Caenorhabditis elegans: one gene and its partners. The protein of the gene in region 3 interacts with the protein of the main gene of each other region in a pairwise test. Each region holds a gene or a part of one and is shown on either strand. Other genes may lie near its edges.

Region 1 (3,795 bases), on a different chromosome or scaffold from region 3:
AGACGATTGACAGAAAAGCTAATTAGTAAGATTTCAGCACAATGGAAAGAAACTAGTGGTGGAATTTGTGTTGCAAAAATATGAAGAGGACACAGTTCGAGTGAAAACAGGAAATATAATAACGGTTTCAGAACCTGATGAAATAGAACCTGAGCCTAATATCGTTATGAAAGCGCTAATGGACAGTTTGCCGAATACCGTAAGTATAAAATAGCTATTGAAAATGTAATTTAGAATTTTCTTATCTAAATAGAAAATGAAAATATCATTTAAAAAGTAAACTCGAAGAAAAAAGCAAGAAAAGATCTCAAAAATGAAGAACAAAATCCGTTGAAACAAAAAGAGAACCGTAGTTTTCAGTTAAAGGCGCACAAAAATCATTTCGTGGCGAGACCCATCACTCGATTTGAATATTTTTCGGCTACGGTTTTCAAAACATTGAACAAACTTTTTAAAATTACTTTTAAAGGCTTTTTTTGTGAACAAATCGTTGCATTTTTTTTCGAGAAAATGGAAAAATAAAGTTATTATAATTTTTGTTCATCTTACAGAATGACCTTGATCGACAAAGTTACGCAGGAACATTGGCTGGTCGATCGTACGGATTGCCGAGTCAAGCAAGCAGATATTCCGAAAAATTGCCAAGTATACCGAGGCGTTATAGCTTGGGAAAGTAAGATAAATTTACAAAAGAAATTTATTTTAAAAAAATTATTTTTTCAGGCTGATTGGAAGAGGAACTCTTGGATCCGTATACTTGGCAGAAGGAAAAAAAGGAGGAACTTATGCGGTGAAAATCATTTCGAAACACGGGAGACATCTTCCTCAAGAAGCCGATGTGGAATATCTGAGTGAGCAGAGTTTTAATATTTTAATTATTAAATAAAAAAAGAATTTCAGGAATGCTGCGACATGTGAGAATCGTTGAATATTTGTACATAATCGAGCCTTCAAAATCAAACGATATTCATATTCTTATGGAATATATGCATACTGGATCATTGCAAGAATATATTGCAAGAACTGGACCTTTGCATCATGAGCTGGTTAAGGCTTACGCAAAACAGGTAAGAATCTCAAAGTTGTAGAAAAAAACTATAAAAATGATTTCAGATTCTTGAAGGACTAGAGTTCTTGCACTCGAAAAACATAATTCATCAAGATTTAAAGCCAGCAAACCTTTTATTAAAAAATACGCATCGCGAAAGGCTCATTAAAATTGCGGATTTCGGATCGAGCAGGTTTTCCTCACTGAAGCGGGAACGTGAAGGACAACAAGGAAGAACTCCAAAATACACTGATCCAGGTGTATCGTTAGGAAGACATGTTTCTGGAAGGCGATCTGATATTTGGAGTCTTGGAGTTATTATAATTGAAATGTATACAGGAGTATATCCATGGTCTATAGATGGTGAACATCCGATTACTGTACCAAGAATTCTCGATGAAAATCCACCGAATTTTACGGTAAAAATAATATTTAAAACGAAAAACATTTAAAATAAATAATTGCAGACAAGCGAAAAAATTGACGAAAATCTGATCAAAATGGCAAAACTTATGCTTCAATCAGTCGCCAAAAGACCATATGCATCTACTCTTCTAGAACTTCCAATTCTTCAAGAATCCTCTGAAAATGAAGATGAAGATTCTGATGACGACGACGACTATTTCTAGATTTTCACCATTTTTCTCAATTTTCTGTTTTACTAATTGCCATATTTCTCTTACATTACACGAGGTCGTTCACGAGGACGAGGTTCTAGTCACTGTTAGTTGCAAACTTGTACATAAAACGAGTATCTTTTGTATTTATTTTTTAAATTGTTCTTGAAGTTAATCGGTTTGATTTTGCCGAATTATATTTTTAATTCAATTTTCACTTTCAAATATTCGGGTATATATTTTCAGAATACAAAATGGACATGCTTAACACATTAAGGGACACATTGAGCAGTGTTCAAGCAGAGTTGAGCACAGGTGTAGAGAAACTTAGAATGAATGTTTCGGCGAACATTGTTGCTCAACAAAAGTAAGTTTTAATCTTGAAAAATGAAAATAATTGTAAATTTGATCGAAAATTAAAGTTCTTATTGTAATTTCACAAATAATTTTCCGATTTCGATCCCCATTAGTATTCACCTACACTTATACACAATTCTAGGTTCAATATTCCTCTTCAAAGTATACATACGCACAAACAGTCACTTGAATTAGCATAAACCATGCAATTGTATTTTTATGACGTTGTTTCATTTCAAAACTGAGAATTTTTCGATAGTTTCGAAACAAATTCTCTAATATTTATATCAAAAACTACGTTTTAAAATGAATTTTTGGAGTTCTGAGTGAGTTTTCTATCCAAAAAAATTTGCAATTGAAAAAAATGCATTTTCTTTCCAGAGTGTCTACCGAATCCGTCAATGAAATTTTGAACACATCAGCTGGAAATGAGTTGCTTCAAAAGTATGTTACCAATCTCGGGAATCTTAATAATAGAAGGTTATCATGATATCTTTTCAGTTTTCAAAATCTTATCACCGAAGTAGAGGAAAATGGAGCCGAAGGGGGTCGTTTAGCGAATCTTTGTAGTACTCGAATGGGAAGATGCCAGCAAATGTGTAAAGAAAAGGCCGATGCGGTTATGGAAATTGATGAGTTCCTCCGAAATTCTGTAGAATTTGACAAGAAGATTCGAGAAATCAACGCTCAAATTTCGAAACTCACGCGTTTCTGCAACCAAACTGAACAGGCGATGACGTATTTGGAAGCTCTGTGCGAAGTTGCTCATACTGAAGGAGAAGTTGATTTAATCCGACAACAAGCCAAATCAGCAGCTACTATTGTGCAAATCGAGTGTGAATCTCCCAGCGTTTTGACTTGTGAGTGATTGAGTGTTTAAATAGTTTTTTCCTATTTTGAATCATAAAACTTTCAGCTGCACTCCGTTCTCGTCCTGAAGATGCCGTTAAGGCTCAGCAAGAAGAAGTGATGCTCGAGGAGTTTCTTTCTTCCAAAAACATGCAGCTTCCATGATTTCATAACTTTTCCTGTGATTCCTCATTTCAATTTGGTCAAACCAACATTCTTCCCGCCCACTTTTACTTATCTTTTCCTCATGCAATAGAACCATTTCGTTCTGTACGTAACGCATATTATCGCAATATTTGCTTTATTTATTGTTCTGACTGACCCATCGCCTTATTTTGAAGCCTTGTACTTTCCATGTATTTATTGGTTTGCTTCAACAGCAAATGCCTGATGTTTTTCTTACTTGAATAAAATTTGAAAATTTAATTTTCTCTCAATCCTTATCAAGTTCTCATGAAGAATTTTATGCAAGAACCTTCGTTCTTTCGCGAAATAAAAAATTAATGAATTGTCCGAGAGGACTTCACAGACTGAGAGTCTGCAAACACCGTGACGCAAAATTGCGTATATTTCGATATAATTCACGCGTGATCGTACCCAGACAACTGATCGATTTTTAAAGCTTTTATTCTTTTCTTTCCGATTGTTTTTTCTTTTTTAAAGGTCTGAAAATTCGTAAACTTTTGTTTCTTTAAAAAAATCGATTAAAAAAACTCATTTTGGGGGGAACGAAACCCATAAGTACCCAAATTTTAAATCAGACATATTTCAGACGCTGTAAGCGGTAAACGCTACACAAAGATAAATCAATGAATGGATAGTTTACGAGGAGTTGAGAGCAGATCAGCACCTGTAGTATTGCATAGGATACGCAGACATTCCCATACAGTGACAGGTGTTCCTATTCCAGGTGAGCCATCCAAT
Region 2 (4,693 bases), on a different chromosome or scaffold from region 3:
ATTATTGGAGAAAATCACAAGAAGGTGGTTGAGCGCATAAAAGCAAATCCAAATCGATGTGAAATGCTTGTGATCTCTGAAGAAGGAGCTAAGTGGTACAATGAAAATAATGTTCAAATCACATTGGACCTTCCAAATATCGAACGAGTTTCTCCAATGGTTAGTCAAAATGTAGATTTTATCTTTACAAAATTAAAAAAAACAATTTTGTGTGACTTTTCTCATTCTCCTAACTTTATTTTAAATTCTAAAATTTTTAACATGTAAGATAAAAAAGTCTTCATTGTCGTGAAGAATGCAATATTCGTTTTTGACAGTAAAATTAGAAACATTTTCCATTTGTCTTATTTCCCTTTGTTGCGCCTAAAATCCCTTATGTTACCAATTGTCAGAGGAACTCCTGTCATCCGTCCAACAATTCTCCCCCGCCAAGTTCGTGGTACGCACCCACGTCATATTCACAGGTCAGTCTTTTTGCCTTTTCACATAATTTTCTCCTTTCTCCACTTTGTTTATTCCTCATTGTTATTTTGTAATTTTCAAACAGTATCGAATATCAAATAGTATAGCTGTAGTTGCTCATTGAGCATCATTTGTTTATTTGACACCTCTAGTTGCACTTGATCAACCGAACTTCGTATATCTACTGAGTCACACTGAACCATTTTTATGCGTCATTTTCATATGTTCTCACACTAAAAAAGGATTGACAAATATTTCGAGGTAGATAGACAGGGAGTCGATAGACAAGAAATGACGTCATTTTAGATGAAAGTTATAGGAACAATGAAAATTAAAAATTGGTAATTGAACCTGGGGAAATTGGAATTAACATTATTAATGGCTATGCAATTTTAGAACTGAAATTTTTAAAAAGTTATACAATATCCGATCTCAAATGAAGAAATGGAAATAAAAATTCTTGCAAAAAAATTGAATAATTTTTTTCTGTTTCATAAATAGTTAAAAGACTTATTCATAAATTTCAAAAATTCGGGAATTGCCTTTTCCGCACAAAAAATGTTTCCTCATTAAGGAAAACCCGTGGTTGGTTTGGAGACTATCTTGAAATTGTAATGCACATATTCTGTCATTCGATGATGCTTTATATAGTTTAGGCGATTGAAATCTGATTAAAACTTTTCTTTAGAACTCCATAAAAATATTTGATTTATTGCAAAAGTTTTGTAAACTTTTCTAAGTTCCTTGTAATATCTAAGTATTGCTAAGACATCATTTCTAGTCATCCACTTGTACTTTCTCTCCTCCAATTTTTGATTTACAATCTGATTCTCCATGCACTCCAAGACGTTCTCAACCATTATTCTTCAAACGGAACAACTTTTCGATGATTCTCGAATCGATGAAGAAACGGACGACACAATAGCGTTGGTTTTGTGTGTGTGTGCCTGTTTTGTATGTTAATATTCAATAAAAATATGAAGAAGATGGAAAAAGACGGGGCAAAGAATTTATGGGCCAAACCATACATATTCTATGCATTGAGGCACGAAGAGGGACAAAAAAGTTATATATCTTGACAAACAAAGGAATACCAAAAAGGCACTTTTGTTTGATTCACATTCCTTGGCTCTTCGGCACATCACTACAGTATTCTCAACTCTTATTCTCAGCTAAGAAATTTCAATTCTAAATCTGCATATTGCCTTCTTCAAACATGGATCGCAATCCATCTGAACCAGAAAGAATAGATTGGAAAAACCCAATCACGTGGATTTCGTATCTCTACACCTCTTTCGTGTACTATTTGTGGTTGATCTCCTCGCATCTACCACATCTCCCACAACCACAACGGATTACCGATGACAAATCAACGGAGCAGATCACCAGAGACGCAGGTATTCCGCGCACTGAGATAGTAACACGAGGAGATGCTACGCAGACAGTTAGACAAGTAGCGGGTCTAGGGGACCCAGCGCCAAAGGATTCATCATTATTGCCTCCCTCTTCGTCGTTCGTCTATTGCAACAACTGTCTAACACCTCATTCGTCTCAGAGGACTTGTTCTCCAGCCTACGTCTCTACTCTCTCAAGACAAAAGTCTTTGACGTTGCTAAAGAAATTGAAGAAACCCTCATCATCTGCTTCTTCCACCACTACCACCACATCATCGACTGTATCTTTCCGTGCACCTTCACGTGCATCATCAACGATCTCCGACGCTTCTACCATCCGCCCATCTGAACTCATTGCTATCGTTCCATCTGGTAGCCACGTGTTGCTGCGAGTTCCGAAACTTGATTGGAAAACTGAATCAATTCGAATCAAAAGAACTAGAATGAGTGATTGGATGGATGCGGAGCAACGGGATGTGATGAGACAATTTGATGAAGTTATAAGATCAGAAGAAGAAGACGAGAGGACCTCACGAAAAAGGAACGGAATCTTCAAAGATGGATCTGTAAGGAGTATTGAATCATTGGAATCTAGGAGTCGGGTGAGCACACGTTGTGATTTTGAAATATCGACTCAAAAATAAAACTTCTTTCTAACAATTATAAATTTAAAAGTTAGAGAATTATCTATTAGTATTGCACCCCCTTACTGTAGGCAGCTCATAACTGATTTTTCATTGATTTTATTATAATTTGACAACTTTCTACTTATAATCTATTTTACTATAATTTTTTAGTTAATAATTTTGTTGATGTCAGCAACTGTCTTTAAAATGAACCGATAGCTCCAAAGAAACGATGGAAAATTATATTTTACGGACCAAAGTTGATCCAAATTTTTTGCTGACAATTGTTCCTGTTTATTCAAAATTTAAAAATTTAAATTACACATTTTTTGGTTTGGGCTATAATTCATCATAAAACCATACTTCTTTAAAACGTGAAATCTCAACTTGTTTTACAGCATTTCAGATAAAATGCACACCGTAGAATTAATTGAAATGGTATTTCAACTGGTTTCTTTTCTTTGTTTTTCATCTTTCCCATACTGGTACGCGTGCCTATCCTTACCCAAATTCTTCAAAAACAATTTGATAAGGATTTCAGTATTTTTTCTTTAAATTGATTAGAGACCAACTTCGCCAAACTATCAATTGGGTACTATGTTTTATAAACTATTCCAACATTTGTTGAGGTATTCGTCATCCTCTTCAACTTTTTTCTTCAATATTTCCATTTTCTCCAAAAAGAATTTCATTTTCATATAAATACGAGTATCATTTCCTCTTCTTCATATTTCTGACTCATCTTTCCTCCATCTTCTCTTGCATACATTTCCAAAAATTTTGCCAACTTGCCAAGTAAACCGCAAACATACGAGAAAACTGTTAAAACTGTGTCTGCACTCTACGCACTCTCTCATTCAGCCTCTTGAAGCTTATGTATGTTTTGTTAAATGTGTGTTGTGGCATTGGCAAGAAAGGAGAGAGAAGGTAGATCATTTTTTATTGAGAAGAAAATGACAATGAAGAAGACAAGTAATAAAAAAATATGTTTAGTGCGAGAGAAACAGAACAAAATGATGATTTATGATCAAAATTGAGACATTAGAAAGTTGGAAGAGGAACTGTAAATTAAATGAGAAAATGGGATACAGAGATATGATAGCAGATAGATTTATGAGGTATTGATACGGAAAATAACATAAATATTGGAAGACTGGCGGACTGGAAATTTGCACAGTTCAATGTTAGGAAGATTGAAATGAGTGTAGAAAAACAACTCAAAGAGGAGTGTAAATTAATCAATAAATAGGTTATTATTTTTGACAATTAACACTTCAATAAATTGTGACATAATTAAAAATATGATGAAACAGAAATAGTTTTGGAAGACTAACGAGTTACCAGCATTCCAGTGTTTAACAGTATATTACAACTCGATGAAACATTCGAAAATTCTAAAATGGAAAATCGATTAAAATTTTTTACTCCTTTAAGAAATCTTGTTCGTAAGCCATATTCTCAGAGAGAACCAAATTCAAAAAAGTTGTCTGACTACAGTAATCCGCAACAATTCCACTTACCTATCATTCGTTACAAATCTTCCTCTTCGTTTCTTTGTCCTTTAATAAATGACCTTCATTTGAATATATCTAATTGGTCCTCCATTAGACACCTTCTTCCAATTGTTTTTTATCCTCCACCTGCCATGTCTTTATTTCAATCTGTCTGTGTCTCGTGCTCTCTCTCTCATTCAATAGAAAGATAGTTAACGAAGCATGACGCATTGGAATATCTTGCTTCACTAAAAGATTGCAACATTCCAATTCTATTAATTTTTACAAAAAACCAACAATCTTCTCCCATTCTTGTCATTTGTCATGTTTAGACACTTTCTCAAGTATTTTACTAATTTTCTTCAAAAAGTACACATTCATCAAACGTTGTATGTTCAATATTCTTTTCCTTCAAACAAACTTTGAATCTCATAAAATGTTTTGTGGTTTCGGAACATGTTAGAAATACAAATAACTTGTCGGAAAACTTTCACAAAACTTGAATTTTATTTCTTGGCATTTCCCAACATTGAAACGCATCTTGTAATCCGATATTTTTGGGACTTGTTTTTTATATTCACTTTTATTCGAAAGAATATCAGAAATAATATACATTAGACTATTTCAAGTGGCGTAGGATATAGGGTTCCTTTTTCCGTCGAAATATTGAAATAGTTCGATTTCGGTTTTTTTTTTGGGTCTCTGAAAGTATTGAAAG
Region 3 (4,155 bases):
ATCTCAAAAGATTGCCCCAAAAGCTCAGATACCCTTGGTTACGTCGTAGTTAATCATAAAATTTTTATGATTCTCGTAGGCTGAAATGGTGTATTATTGAAGCTTGAAGGGCTTCGCAAAACGGGAAATGAGATTTTGTGACTAACGGAAATTAGAGCCCAGCTAGCCGAAAATTTTGAAAAATTGAATATCAAGAGAAATATGTGGAAATTCTTGTTGGAAATTTTTAGGGATAAATATTGTTTTTTAAAACAATATTCGTTTTTTACGCACCAAATAGAAAAACAGAAGGAATGTGACAGAAATGTACAGAGAGGGTTGACTGACTTTGATTATCTTCTGGTATTTTTCCAGTTTTGCAAAGATATCTTAAGAAAACAGTATTAAAATGATTTCCAGAAGTTTCAGCGTTTTAGTAACTTTTATTAAGCAAACCTGTTAGTCGCAGAAAATCTGTCATCACACGTGATCGATGATATCTTTTTTTGTGTTCGATATCCTCAACCACGAATGCTGACTGAACACGTCTGCGAGATTTTCAAAAATATCCAGAATAAATTTTGAAGTAAGCATTGAATATCGTATATTTTCCTTCCAACGCGGCAATAGATGAGGGCGGCGGTGCACATAAAAATATCGCAAAGATGAGAACCATAAAATATTGGCGCTGCAGTTTTTTTGCAATTCGTTCTCTTTTCTTGACGCCCAAATTTGTTGGATCCTATGAAACAAAACGAAGGGTAGTAATGGGTGATAATGTACAGTTCAGTTCTACAGTTCAGAGCTCGGAAAATTCGGCAAATATCGTTTTTTAATATTTGCCGTGCTTAACAAACTAGGAAAATGTGATAATTTTTTATGTCTTTTTTATGTGAGCATTTTTTCGACTGTGGATTGCAGTTGACTAGACAATTAACTAAGTTAACTAAGTTAACTAGACTATAATTGACTTCCGAAGATACTCAAGTCGGTTGGGACAATCAGTTTTTTCTGCACTGATCTGCTTGATGTATCCTAATCGGCTTCATCTTTATCTGAGTAGGTGTGCTGCAAATTTGCCGTTTGCCGGGCTCGGCAAATTTCAAAAAAGTAGATTTGCGGAACTTTCCGAGCTCGGCTAATTATGTTAGGCCGGATCGATTTTACATGACTCATTTCCGTTGTTATCAATTTTTCTATCTGCTGAACAGGTTAACAACCATATGATAAGACGCGTAATGTGCCTATGTAATCATTTATTAAAAACAGTTTTTTGTGTACGAAAAAATTTCAAATAGAGGTGCCTGATTTTTACAAGCTGGATAAAACAGATAGTTCAAAAGTGGTATGATGTATGATGACAACGTTTATAGAATGACTTACATTGTTAGATAATTCATAAAATACTAAACTTTTTGTTTTGTTAGAAAAATGTCTTTATACGTTTAATTTCCAGAATATTTCCTGCACTTTGTGTGCTTGCCTTTTTTGCATACAATTAATTTGCTCACTGTTCACGAGTGCAAGGGACTCATGCGATACGTTTTCTTATGTTTCTCTGTGTCTCTCGTTTCACTCAATTTCTCGCACTACGTTACTCCGCTCTTCCACCCTGCTCGCAGTTTATTTGAACCATTTTCCTGATGTCATGTGTTTTGCATGACTAATTCCGCATAAACATACGTTTTTCTTGTAAATTAATAGATTAAATTATAAAATATTTTTCAGGATGGGTACTAATCAATCAAAACGACATCCACGATTTCAGTCATGCACATGGGATGAATTTTTGGCCGATATTAAGGAAATGAACCGAAAGTATGTTTTTTTGTTAGAGTCAAATTTGGTTGCAATATTTATAATTCATAATTTGAAAAATCAAATATAATTTCCAAATGTTTTAATTTCCTTAATCTTTTTGAAAATACCACTATTTTTTTTATACAGCAACAATTAAAAATTTATAAATAAAAAGGCTTTCCTTAGCGGTGTTCGAAAAATAATTTGGACATAAAGTGTGAAACAATCTTTTCGCAACATTTTTTGAAGTGTTTGCTTATGAACCCTGCACCAAAGATCGGATTCCTCGGAAGTTTCCCAAACATTACGAAATATGGCGTCACGACCTTAACTAACATTTTATTCGTTCAGTTATCGCAGTCTTCTTGTCGAAAACGAGGAGTACTTGGCCTTCGCTCTCCGGAACATTGACTATCAGCGTGAAGGATATGAAAACTGGAAGTCAGAGATTAAAATTCTCTGCTGCAAGGTGAGTAGTTTCATTGTACAAATCGAACATTGAAAAAATAAATTTTCAGGTTAATCAAATGTCGAAGCAAGTGTTAAACTACAAGGAGCTGACGTTTCGCGAGTTTCTCTCCACATATGATCTACATAAGCTGATGATCACCAACAAGGAAAGCCGTAAAAGAAGCGTGGATCCCATGTCGACTAGTCAATTCATTTTGACTCAAACGTAAGTTACACGAAGAAAAAAGTATACACTGATATCGTTATATTTGGAAAGAAAATGTATTTTAATTAAGACTGTTTCGTTAGTAAATTTTAACCTTAAAATTTTTCACAGGTCACTTCAACTTTTTTTTGCAGATCGGATGTCGAGGGTAACTGCGTGATTTGTATGGAAAACATCAACGATGTAAGTTTTCAATTTCGTATTCAAAATTAATTCATTAGTGGGTCCGTACATTTTGTATTTTGGAATCTAAAACCTTGGTAGTGCTCCTCATATTTAAAAACTTTTCTTCTACTGGTTCATTAACATGAGTTTGAGAAAATATCGATCAAGATTTCGAAATGAACAATTATGAAATCCCAAACTTGTTTACTTTGGATAATTTTAAGGCATTTTTCCGCAAATTTTTATCTGTGGATTCATATCGGTAAACTCATTTGAGCTCAAGGAATATTTCCAAAGTTCCAGTTCTCATAAAGAACATATTTGAATAAAAAACTGTAAATAGTAGATACGGAGTATTGAAAAATAAAAATAAAGATATTTTATTTATTTTTCAGTTGCTTCTCCCGTGCCTCCACGCCTTTTGCATCCGATGCATCGCCAACGAAATGGAATACCGCCACGATTTCTCATGCCCGATTTGCAAGACAAAGATCAGAAACCCCATCGAATCATCTTGGGAGGTGCCAGATGCTCCAGACCAGGCTGAAGTGAACGAGTATTTGAAGGAAATCGCCCGTGAAACTTGATCTAAACTATATTCAACTAGCTCCAAATCTCTCTCGCCTCCGCTCACTTTTCCTGTCTGATTTTTCTCACATTTCTCATTCGTTGTTTCTTGGAAAACGTTATTTTTATTTATTCCATTTATAAGTTCAAAACTTACCATAACTCCATTAACGGTTCATTGTTCATTCTCAGCCTTAGCCATTTTTTTTCCTTCTTTCTCGGTTTCGATGTGCGCCTAGCGGTTTCTTGTGAGTAGCTCACAGTCGAATATTTTTTTAGTGGGGGCAGTGCAAATTAGTTTTTTAACTGGTGTTTGGTAATTTCTGGGCACTAATGGTAGAAATTATTTTTGCACTGCCGCACTTCTCAGGTCCAAATTCCAAATGTTTCAACTCATTTTTTTTGTATTCAAATGATGTATACTTTGTTACCATGTAAATATCTGAATAAAGCACGTTCAACCTTTTTAATTATTTCAATAATCAGTACTGCATGAATCCTATTTTGTTATTTGAAATTCTTGGACAACATTGAATTGGGTACTGAAAATGCTTGCCGTGTATTCTTAGATTTACAAAAGCTGGTTTATTTTTTGAAACTTAAACTTATTTAAATTTAAAACATTGAAAAGTTTGCTCAAAACTGCCTTAAAAATAGCAATTCAATTGTTAAAAAAAGAAACTGAACATACTCATCAGCAACATTTCTGTTTCAACTTTTTCCACTAAATCCATTTTGATAATGTTTTTTTGAATGGTTTGCAAAAAAAAGAAACCGAATGCGTTTTTTTTTGGAAAATCGGAATGTTAACCTGAATATGGAAAATTTATATGTAGATTTTTTAAATTTTTTAACACCGTGCAAGCATAATGGAAAAACTAAAAAAAAAAAAATTATTACATTCTTCGTTCAAATATACAATTATGTTTATTGAAGTATTCATATTTCTGTTGCATTGATAATTGGAG

What was found.
Region 1: the proteins of F54B11.5 (region 3) and dsbn-1 interact in a two-hybrid assay, tested with the Caenorhabditis elegans proteins (one large-scale study listed by BioGRID).
Region 2: the proteins of F54B11.5 (region 3) and nrfl-1 interact in a two-hybrid assay, tested with the Caenorhabditis elegans proteins (one large-scale study listed by BioGRID).

The regions. Positions count from the first base shown.
Region 1 is NC_003279.8:9,934,139-9,937,933, reverse strand, and holds dsbn-1 (Dysbindin protein homolog), read left to right. Parts: upstream 1-1,911; 5' UTR 1,912-1,919; coding exon 1,920-2,032; intron 2,033-2,254; exon of another isoform or gene 2,255-2,328; coding exon of another isoform or gene 2,329-2,348; intron 2,349-2,403; coding exon 2,404-2,466; intron 2,467-2,523; coding exon 2,524-2,882; intron 2,883-2,938; coding exon 2,939-3,036; 3' UTR 3,037-3,295; downstream 3,296-3,795. Other genes in the region: mekk-3 (non-specific serine/threonine protein kinase), read left to right, coding at 38-199, 552-673, 724-851, 901-1,067, 1,114-1,467, 1,516-1,677; epg-8 (MRG domain-containing protein), read left to right, coding at 3,685-3,781.
Region 2 is NC_003282.8:9,119,803-9,124,495, forward strand, and holds the start of nrfl-1 (Na(+)/H(+) exchange regulatory cofactor-like protein nrfl-1), read left to right. Parts: upstream 1-1,569; 5' UTR 1,570-1,678; coding exon 1,679-2,458; intron 2,459-3,475; exon of another isoform or gene 3,476-3,876; intron 3,877-4,002; exon of another isoform or gene 4,003-4,074; intron 4,075-4,693. UniProt on the Caenorhabditis elegans protein: Scaffold protein that connects plasma membrane proteins with members of the ezrin/moesin/radixin family and thereby helps to link them to the actin cytoskeleton and to regulate their surface expression.
Region 3 is NC_003284.9:13,593,621-13,597,775, reverse strand, and holds F54B11.5 (RING-type domain-containing protein), read left to right. Parts: upstream 1-1,707; 5' UTR 1,708-1,708; coding exon 1,709-1,797; intron 1,798-2,130; coding exon 2,131-2,248; intron 2,249-2,297; coding exon 2,298-2,455; intron 2,456-2,589; coding exon 2,590-2,638; intron 2,639-3,015; coding exon 3,016-3,207; 3' UTR 3,208-3,655; downstream 3,656-4,155.